Linked DNA regions of Caenorhabditis elegans. The protein of the gene in region 2 purifies or fractionates together with the protein of the main gene of each other region. This does not show direct contact. Each region holds a gene or a part of one and is shown on either strand. Other genes may lie near its edges.

Region 1 (3,176 bases), on a different chromosome or scaffold from region 2:
AATTTTGCAGATTTTTTTAGAGTTAGCCTACAGTACTCGGTCTCGAAACGGCCAAAACTATTTAAATACCGTATCCGCAAGTATTTGTTTTTAATTTTTCATGATCTCCTACAATTTTCCAAAAATGTATCGGTTTTTCCTTTAAAAATGTGGAATTTTAAGTGAAACTATTACAACAGATACAGGTGAAAATTGCGAAACACTTTTGGGTGCGGTAGCTGAAAAGTTTCCATCGTGCCGAGACCGGCTACCGTATTTTCGCATTGAAAATCTCAAACTTCTGCAAATGGGTAGTACCAAAATTGTGTCTCGAAAATGATAAAATATGCCAGAATCGAATCAAAAATGATTCCTAAGTCAACGTTTGAGCCCTCTTATGACATTTTCAGACGATGACAACTAGAATAAACTGTCATTTGACAGATGACTAATGGATACAAAGAGCCTTTTTGCCAAAAGTGTGTCACCATTTTCGAAATAAAATTCTCATTTTTCTCTATACTTTGTTCAGAAATCTACAATGATGTTTACGTAATACAAATGTGACGTCAATTCTATACAGATGAAAAAGTGATTTCGCAATGTGTATTGCTAACTGTTGGAGGTATTCCATTCGCTGGCCGAAAATAACGATGAGCATGAACATGAATTTGTTTGTGTCTTCTTCGTTTATTCATGAATCAAAAATTTGAAAGTAATAGCAAAAAAATATCAAAATCCGAGAGAAAACATGATTTTCTGGGAGGGGAGAAGAGCAACTTCGTAGACAATAGTTTGAATAGAAGTCACTACTCGGAACCGTCATACGAGAAAAATGAGAAGAAAATGTGAAGGAAATACAGAATTATTACAGAAAATGAGAAGATTTTTTTAAAGGGGCTTTGGGTTTCCATTAGAAGTATGAAATTTCCATTGTACAAGTATACACATTCGTCGGCGGATAATACATGACACTTTATTCCTTCTTTTCGACCTCTCCTCCATACACACTTTCGTCACTGTAGGCGATGTAAAGGAACAAGTCTTCCTCGTGATGGTCCTGTAATAAAGAAAAGGGTTAATTAAATGAAAATAAACGACTGGTTAGTTACCTGGTAGAGTTGTCCCATTGTGGTCATGGTTTGTGGAATGACATTGTTGACAAAGAAGAACAGAGCATCTTCTGGACGAAGTTGGATGCGTTTTCTGATGAGGAAGTAGAACTGTCCAACAGTAAGATCGGATGGGACCAAGTACTTCTTCTTATCCAAGTCATGGAGCTTTGACTTTGGTGCTTTCTCAACAATCACTGGAATACGGTCTGGGTACTTTCTGCGGATCTTGTCTCCTTCGGCACGACGCTTCTCAAAGTTGTTCTCCTCCTTGTAAGCCCACTTCATTTTGATTCGAAGGTTAGTGTGAAGAGAAGGTTACTGGAATAAAAATACTTTAAATCACAGAAAAATCATAAAAGAACCATGAGAGAAGAAAGGTGTAACAAGTGAGAGTGAATGAAGGTGACATCACATGGGTTTTGAGAGATTGACCGATTCGATAACACATTGCGAAATCTATATAAAATTGACGACGAGTACTAGTAAGGCAAAAAGAGCATGAGCAAGAATGGCCCGTGTGCAAGTGAGAGAGGGAGTGTGCGCGCACATCGGTCATATGAGAGCGCGTAGACGCAGGAGACATCCTATTGATTTTCTATGTTTGTCTGGCCTGGTTTTGTTGAGATGCAGAGAAACAGGACAAGTACAATGCAGCTGTTTAGAGGTTGTCGGGGAAACTGTAATTCTGGGAAGACTGAAAGTCGATCGATATATTAGTAACATTTATCCAATATTCACTAGTATCCATAACCAGTTTCTACGAATATTCTTAGCGCATTGTTCCAAAAAATTGAATTCTGAAAGACTTTAGTAATCAACTATTAACTAGATTAATATGACCGTTCAATAAATAATTTTGGTATGATTTAGCAATATTTTTAGATAGAATTGTTAAACCGTACATTTAATAGTCAAACTTGTGAAACATTTCTTAATTTCAAATTTCAAATCTAAAAAAGATTTTGATTTGAAACCGGTTTTTTAAACAAACCAACTAAAATTACAAACTTTTAAATAAAAAAGTACTGTCGCTACCGACGTCGCCAGAAAGTGAAAGAAATGGCAGAAAGTCGCAAAGAAGAGCGAGAGGCAAGACTGAACACACCAAGACGAATGGCACTAGCTAGAAAGAGAGAGAGATGAGAGAGGGGCGGAGACGACGAGACACCACGACTCAACATCATGTGACTGTGTCATACGGCGGCGAAACGAGACAGCAGGCAGAGGAGAGCAAGAGAGTATAGGGAAACATTGGATGGTTTGAGAGAAGTAGAGCAGCATGGTGTAGAATCATCGGGGTTTCAGGTGCCGATCGACAGATTGTTTGTTCTTAGATTCTTTTGATAGGAAATTTTAAACGTTAGAAATGATCAAAAGTGATAAAAGGTTAGAATAACAACTAGACAACAGTTGGTATTGAGTATGTTTTGCTATTAAAGGAACATAATATGCTAAAACTAAACGAAATAAACGATATATAACTACTATATCCATACAATAATATGTAGGTGGAAAGTGCATTAGCGACATAATTCTAAAATAAAGAGTTGGAGCAATGAGAGCATCATCCACATTCACAGCTGTCACCGTGACGTAGAATGTAATGAACTAGAAGAGGGCATTCAAGACCAGCTGGTAAAACGCTAGAACTGACAATATAAAACAAATCAATTAAAAGATCTTAAAGACATTAGGGTGCACTCCATGTAATCGATCAGAAAGGCAAAAATATAAAAAGGAACAAGATAAAAATTTGCCGGAAGCAAACCGAGAAAAAATATTAAAAAAATAACCAAACAATAAACCAAAGGTTAAAAATTTATAGACAGTCAATAGTGACGAAATGTTTTACACGGACAGAAGTACAATAATCAGAATAAAGCTATAAATATAAATAAATAAAAAATGATAGCTAACATGGAGAAACAATAAAAATATGAAAAACGCTTTTTTCTTTGAACCGTAAACAACGAAAATCTAAAAATTGCCGAATAAGTTCGCTTGTAGCCCAGGATGGAACATTTGGAAACTTGCTACTACGAAACATCGAAATGTCAGAAAAAATAAAAGTAAAAAAGTTGT
Region 2 (3,758 bases):
TGAGTAAGTTACACTTTTTGACAGGAAATAAAACATTATTTTTAAAACTACTTTGAAATTTTATTACAATAATTGGTATTTTTTATAATGAAAAAAGTAATTTTAAACGTTCTACCCACTGACATCAATATGATTCAAGCGCCAAGTCTTATTTTTCGTTTTTTCCGAGACCATACAGTTTTCACTTTTAACTCTTAACTCCCATTCTCACCCGGAACTGAATATAATACAAAAATAATGATTATTGATAATCATATATATATCTCTCTTATCATTTTCCCAGTGATTTTTCTGTGTTCCCGAACGCAATTATTACCTGTATCTTTCTACCCATCTGAACAAAAGAGCAAACATTGAAAGACGAGAAAAAAAAACAAAAATATTTACTGGACCGTAAGACCGAGGTCAGATAAGATACTTGAAATGTTCTTCCCAGTGTTTTTCTAAGTATGTATGTATGTGTGTATGTGAGACGGTCGGCGCCTGTACTAGTTTGTTTCTGTTTTTGTCGCATACAGTTAGATGACTCTATTCTTAATTTTGACGTTTGCATTTCTGTGCTGAACCTGTGGTGAGCCTCCATCAATGTTTAATAACTCATCGTTTTTATTTCTCAACATCATAAGTTATTTAAAATGTATGTACATGTAAAACAGTTCAGTATGATCATTATTGTTTGCGAAGTCGGTGACAGAAATCATGTGGTTTTTAAGAAAAGTAAACTGTTTTCGCTTATGTACTTGAATAGTGTTTCACATTTTGTCAGTTGTATTTCAGTTATTGTTTTTCAAAGATAATAGCATACTGTAAAAATGTAACTTTTCAAAGCATTTTTTGTTTAAAAATTTCTATAAATCGGGCTGATTTCGTCTTAAGAGTGGAGTCGCGCCTGTGTTCATTCTTAGTGTAGAAACAAACTCTAGTTTTTAAAAATTGAAGGGCGAAACACGAATACGCAGCTCAAGCTTTCATGCATTCATATGGTGCTGAAAGGACCAAATATCGTAATAAACTGTTTCAAAAAAATTGGAAATGTTTTCGTTTCTAGTAAAAAACGGTGAAAACTCAGTTCTCAACAATTTTTTAGAAGTAGGTTTTCAAGAAAATAATGCTTTAATTATGTTGAAAATGTTTATATTCCAACATTGGTGGAGTTCAAACATACCACAGTTTTGGCGAAAAATGGCACGAACTAAGATTTTACAACTTTGACACAAACGTGAAAAATTCTAAAATGTTTTGAAACGTTTTATTTAATATTTAATATTTTCCTTTTCCAATAGGCAGGTTTTTAATCAGTTCTCCAGTGGCCATACTCCATATTCAAACCTAACACTATCCGGCCAGGTGGTCCCCGTTCTCCAATCGGCTCTCATCGTAAAAGATTAACTACTAATTCTTTTTGGCCATCTGCAGTGGTCAGACCCAATTTTTCTAAAGGAATACTTTTTTTTAGAGTTCTGCATTTGTTTCTCCAACTATGTTGTAGCATGTTGAAAAATGTCAGTTATTCAGTCATGAAACCTTGAAATCGATCTCAACAGTAGTTGAATTGATGAGATCAACCCACCTACAAATGTCAATGCACTAACTTTGTACTTCGCCATAAAATTCAAAATTTTACTTTCAGTCAGTTATGAAGTGTGGCGTCTCAAATTGTTCTACTGATAGCATTTTGAAATAAAAAAATCAAGATAATCAAAACACACCTGGTCACTCTAAATACCTTTTTACACTAACAAAATCATTCTCGTCTTGATTTCAACATCGATCTCTGCCCAACTCACGGGATGAATATGAGGGCCGTGGCTATGCCTGTGTCAGTGATGTGCGTGTGAGTGTGCAACAACGCTCACTGCCAACGCAAAAGTGCGTTGTGATGCAAGAGATTTAGAGAGAACGACAAAGAGGCAAAGGGAGCGTTTTCTGCCTCGCAGAGGAGGGTCTCCGCTCACAAGTCGGCCTCGTTTCTGCCTCTGTACGTCACGTGATTTGCAGCCGCAACACCACATTTGACGCAACATCACACAGTCATTTGCCATATCGACTCTCTTGTTTTTCTGTACTCTCTCTCGCTCATTTATCTCGTTCCAGATTATTTCCCAAAGCCGCTTGTTTTTACTCGATTTCCTCGTTATACCAATTTAATTTTCGACTTTAAAGTTAAGGTTTCAAATTTTTAGATTCAAAAATGATAATGTATCATATATTCTACATGGATAGGGGCCAGGCCATGGTATTTGATTTAAATGTAAGTTTAAAAACCTGGCTATCAACTCATGAAATAGTAAACTTACAGGCAGAAACTACAACATTCAATGTACTACAGGATATGGTATCCAAGGAGGTTGGTCATCGAATCTCTGATCTGGTATGTGTTTTGTCATTTATTGAAGTCAAAACGTGTAACGGATTTGCAGACTTTTCTTGATGAAAGCGGTACTACCCCGGATGGTAACAAAAGTTTGGCAGAGATCAGTACTCTTGGCACTGAAACATCTCCAGTGTACTTTTTTCTAAAATCTGGAAACGAAAGAGAAAACCACAACGGCAGTGATGTGACGTACATTTTTCAGATGATTGACGATGCTGTTGATCAGGTTAGTTGTTTTCAAAACATTTATAAGAAAGCAATCTTGTATTCCAGGCACAATACGTTCTGAAAAATCAGGACCCTCTGAAAATCTACATGGAGCTGCCAGAACGAGCAAAAAACTGTAGAAAAGTCTGCGCAGAGACTTTGCAAATGTGTGCCAGGCTGGTCCAACAGCATAGGTTTTTACATAAGGTAGGATTTCGACAAGAATTTTAATTATCAATATTTATTTGAAAGAATCTTTACCTTTCACGATATTCCAGTTACCAAAATTTACAATGGTAATCGTTTCAGGGTTGGTTGGCGTTGATTAACAATCTGGATATATCTGTCAGCAAAATGGACAAAAGGGGAAAGAAGTTCAAATTGGTACACTCAAAAAGCGAAGAACTCATTGAAAAGTCGGACACACTCCTGTTGAACTATTCCGACGTTGTTGAACAATTACGAAGGATCGAAGTTCCTTCGGAAATTTTTGTGAAACCAGCGTCTTTGATGACTTCCACATCAACTCCAATCAATCCAGACGAAAAATGTACATTGTTTGATTTTATTGCGATGGCTGATCCAGAAGCATCTCTTGATGGTTTACCTGACTTGGTTAATGAGAAGATTCGACAGCTCAAGGAGCAAAATGCTATTAGTGTATATACGAGGCTCCAATCTGTACATGAAACGTCGAAGAATCAAGAGTATCGAGATTTCAAGGGAATTAATAAACGATTTTCTCAGCTTGAGTTTAGTTTGAAAAGCTGTGAAGGTAAGTAAAAACTAGAACTAGGCCTATAACTTAAAATAACAACATATATTTTTAGAAAGAAAAAACTTGGTTCACAAACTAGTCGCTCAAATTTTGGAAACTCCGAAAATCAATGACCAGAATAAGCTACCACCAATTATCGAAGAACACCGTCAATGCATGCTGACTATTTTCGAAAACTTTTCAGAATTTCGAAATATGGTCCGCGTTTTTGATCAGTCAAAACAGGAAATTCTAAAAAATTTGCGAACGAGAATGTCTGGATTTGTGGTTCAAAACTACGATCGATTACGCGTTGTTCTCAACGACATTGTACAGTACGAATACAAAAGCAATGCAGTTCGCATTCACATGGATCTTATTGGTCAGATTCGAGATGCACCGATTCTTTATTCACAGAGT
Region 3 (3,758 bases), on a different chromosome or scaffold from region 2:
AATAATTCCAAAAAAGCTAACTTCGGACAGATGTGACACGGAAAAATGGGGAAAATTCGTAATTTCAGATAAAATCAGTGTAATTTTTTCAAAATTTTGAACCGCCATAAAAAATTTTTGAAAAATTTTTGAGCAGTTTCATTACGAAATTCGTTCATTTGAGCTCATTTTGGGTCTATACGTTCAAAATCGTTCGAACCGTTAGTCCACCTTTAAAAATCTTTTTGAGATTTTTCAATTTTTTCAAAATTCCCTCTAAAATGAGAAGTCCCCCACCAATCAACATCTTCGAACTCCGCCCATTCCATCTGATTGGTTGAAAAGTGGGCGGAGCGAATCACTGATTGGTCTAATTTTTTTTTGTTGAATTTTCGTTATCGGAAAGTCAAAATCTGTCAATTATTAGTTTTCTCAAATAAGCTCCGCCTATTTATTGGTTTTATGTGTTGAATTCTTCGTTTTTCACCTTTTTTTGCGAAGAAAAGGCGGAATTTCAAATTTTTCGACTTTTTGATTTCCCGCGCAATTTAGTCACTTAATATCGACATTTTTGGCGTTTTTCGGGAATTTTAAGACATTTTCCTGAAAAAGCTTTAAAATTGACCTAGAAACCGATAATTTCAAAATAATTTACAGTTTTTCGGAAAAAAGGCCGAAGATATGAAAAAAATATTTAAAAATTATAAAATTTAGTCGGAAAACGCCAAAACTACGCAATAAATTTGCGCGGGAAGTCAAAAATAGTTTAAATTTTTTGAAATTGCCACGCCACGCCCAGAAAATGGCAGATTTTCGACACAAAACTCACCATAACAAATATAAATTGTAATAAACTGAACACTTTCTGCAAAACAATGCACAAATAACCGCCATTCTGATGATATTCGTAGATATGCGTGAAAAATTCGTCTAAATTCAGTACGTGGTCCCATCGTCGAGAGTTTAGCTGTGACGATGAAGCCATTGTTGGCGGACCATGATTGTGGGTGGCCGTGAATTGTTCGTAGTGAGTTTCCTGAAAGTAATTGCGGATTTTTGAGGGATTTTTTGGTTTTAAAGCGGGGAAAATTGATGGGAAATCGGTTTTTTCTTGAACTTTAACCAAAAAAAAACTAGGAAAATCTGATAAAAATGAGTTTTTTTGCGAATTTTTGAGGCATTTGTTATTTAAAAACGGGGAAAATTGGTGGATATTCGGTTTTTTTTTTTAATTTAACACAATTTCAAGTTGGTTTTGCAATTTTCTGGACGTTTTTTTGTCAAATTCAACTAAAAACTTTGAAAATCTTGAAAAAAAAAAAACATTTTCGTGGGTTTTTTTTTGACAAAAAGTACAGAAAAGTTGTAAAATCGATATTTTTTCGGGGGTTTCCTGGACATTTTTATCGGTTTTTATAGCGAATTTCACTGAAAACACACGAGATTCTAGCAAAAAGTGGCCAGAAAATCGATTAAAAAAAACGCTAATATGTTCGATTTTTCAGTTTTTGTCGAAAATTTGACTTTTTGCTAAAAAAATAGTGTTTCTTCAGCCTTTTTTTCCAATTTTTCAGCAGAAATCGGGGATTTTCAGGTCAAAATCCGTACCGGTGGCTCCTCGGCAGGTGAATCGTGATACGAGTGATGGGACGAGGAGCTGGCGATTCTGAAATTTTAAATTTTAGTGTTTTTCATCGAATTTTGCACTAGAAAAACATGAAAATCTCGAATTTTCGGTCAAAATTCGAATTTTTCGCCGTAAAAACTCACAAATTCCTCTGTTCATCATTGGAAGCGCCTCCAAAAAGCAGTGACCTTGTGGATGAGCCCCATCCTTGCATAAATCGTGACGTACACGTACTGTTACGCAGCACTTCATCATCAAAATCGTCGTCGATTTGCTGGAATTTCGAGAAAAAATCAATTAAAATAGTTTTTCTCGAAAAAAAAAATTACCTGATATGCCCGTTTTGACTGTGAGTTGAACATTTGATGGGTCTGAATGAGAAAAAAAATTTTATTTGAATAAAAAACGAGAAAACGCGAGAAAAACGAAGAAAAATCGATCAATTTCATCGACTGGGCTCACGCGGTGGGGGGTGCAAATGCAAACGCGCTCTATTGAACACGGCAGCTGGGGAGGGAGGGGGCACGTGAACAGCGGGTGGTGACTGTTAGAACTGGTATTTGAAGGGGAGAGAAGGTTAGGGGAAGAAAAATAAATAGGTTTTGTAATAGAAAACAGGAGAATTGAACTGATAAAATTTTAGAAATTGCCAAAAAAATTGATTTTTTTTAAAAATTACAGAAAAAAAGTTTTTTTCGAATTTTTCGTTAAAAAATACTTCATTTTTCCGTTAATTAATAATTTAAAACATAATTTTCCAATTCTTGAAGTCATTTTTCTGCCAAAAAACCTTGCTCAAACCCTAAAATTGCCCAGAAAATCGATAAATTACAGTTAAATAGTTCATTTTCACAGAAAAAGTCTGCCAAATAATAATTTTTCATACTTTTTTCTGGAAAAATATCAAATTTATGCTTGAATTATCGATTTTCTGGAGCAAATTTTGAGTTTCGGCCATTTTCAAAGTTTTTTAGCGAAAAAAATGTCTGAAAAATTGGAAAATTACCTTAAAAATTAAAAAAAAAAACGAGAAAAAACTGAACTAAAATAACCGGAAATCGAAAAAATAGCAAAAATAGGTCATTTATTTGCGCGGGAATATCTAAATTGTCTAGGCCTAACAATAAGCTTAAGCTTAAGCCTAAGCCTGTGCCTCAGAGCCGGCCCAGGACTAAGCTTAAACCTAAGCCTAGGCCTATTTAAGTAATTTGTTTCGAGAAATTTCAAAAATTAAATTATTGAATTTAAATAAATACTACAATTTTCGTTGAAATTTGGAGAAAAACCCCACACAAACCCAAAATTTTTGCTCATTTATACAAATTAATAAATGCCAGATGTCGGATTAAGGCCACCTGTCCATTCGATGAAGCGAGCTTTTTTAATCAAATATTTAGTTTTTCTATTATTATAATTGTTTAAATAATGAAAAAATTATTTTTTTTGTCAAAAGAAAGGATTTTTTTTTTGAATTAAAACTATAAAAAATTTGTTAAATTAAGAGCTTTTTTAAAAAAATTATAAAAGCAACTGTCATTTTAACGCCGCGTGCCTCCCCCCCCCCCCCCCCCCCCCAACCATTATTATCGAGAGAGAGAAAGTGAGACACAGAAAAATCACATGATTTGACCCTGAGAACATCGTTTTCAGAGGCGGGAGGGTGGTTTTTTTGTTGTAAAGTACAGATGAAAGTCTTACTATGAAGTTGAAATTTCGATTAGGATCAGAATTGTCGAATTTTTATCGATTTTTACTGTAAAGTCTGGGCTTTGAGGCTTGAAAATCACGAAAATCAACGAAACTCAGCAGAAAATCGGTTTTTTGTTGATTTTTAAGTTTTTTGATAAAAAAAATAAAAGAAAAATCGAATTAGAAGCGAAAAAAACGCCGAAAATAGTTGAAATTAATAAAAAAAAAGAAAAATAATCGAAAACAAAAAATACCGTAATCTTAAAGGCGCATGACGGAATTCTTGCCGGCACTGCTTATCGTTTCGAGACCCGACGCAACAAAAATTTAAAATTTCCAATTAAAAAAAGTTTCTAACATTTTTCCAAACAAGAAAAGGTTTTTTTTGTATAAAATCATTAGGAAACAAATTTAAAAAAAAACTAAAAATTTATTCTATTATTGAAATTAAATTTAATAAAAT

What was found.
Region 1: the proteins of epg-7 (region 2) and lgg-1 purify together in Caenorhabditis elegans (affinity purification with western blotting, with the first as the bait; 2 studies listed by BioGRID). This does not show direct contact.
Region 3: the proteins of epg-7 (region 2) and atg-9 purify together in Caenorhabditis elegans (affinity purification with western blotting, with the first as the bait; one study listed by BioGRID). This does not show direct contact.

The regions. Positions count from the first base shown.
Region 1 is NC_003280.10:6,346,308-6,349,483, forward strand, and holds lgg-1 (Protein lgg-1), read right to left. Parts: upstream 1,413-3,176; 5' UTR 1,380-1,412; coding exon 1,092-1,379; intron 1,040-1,091; coding exon 956-1,039; 3' UTR 653-955; downstream 1-652. UniProt on the Caenorhabditis elegans protein: Ubiquitin-like modifier involved in the formation of autophagosomal vacuoles (autophagosomes). When lipidated mediates tethering between adjacent membranes and stimulates membrane fusion during autophagy. Recruits lipidated-lgg-2 to maturing autophagosomes.
Region 2 is NC_003284.9:7,332,588-7,336,345, forward strand, and holds the start of epg-7 (Autophagy-related protein 11 C-terminal domain-containing protein), read left to right. Parts: upstream 1-2,126; 5' UTR 2,127-2,191; coding exon 2,192-2,251; intron 2,252-2,299; coding exon 2,300-2,371; intron 2,372-2,420; coding exon 2,421-2,600; intron 2,601-2,647; coding exon 2,648-2,788; intron 2,789-2,890; coding exon 2,891-3,356; intron 3,357-3,411; coding exon 3,412-3,758.
Region 3 is NC_003283.11:347,595-351,352, reverse strand, and holds the start of atg-9 (Autophagy-related protein 9), read right to left. Parts: upstream 1,969-3,758; coding exon 1,936-1,968; intron 1,881-1,935; coding exon 1,750-1,880; intron 1,646-1,749; coding exon 1,588-1,645; intron 1,016-1,587; coding exon 809-1,015; intron 1-808.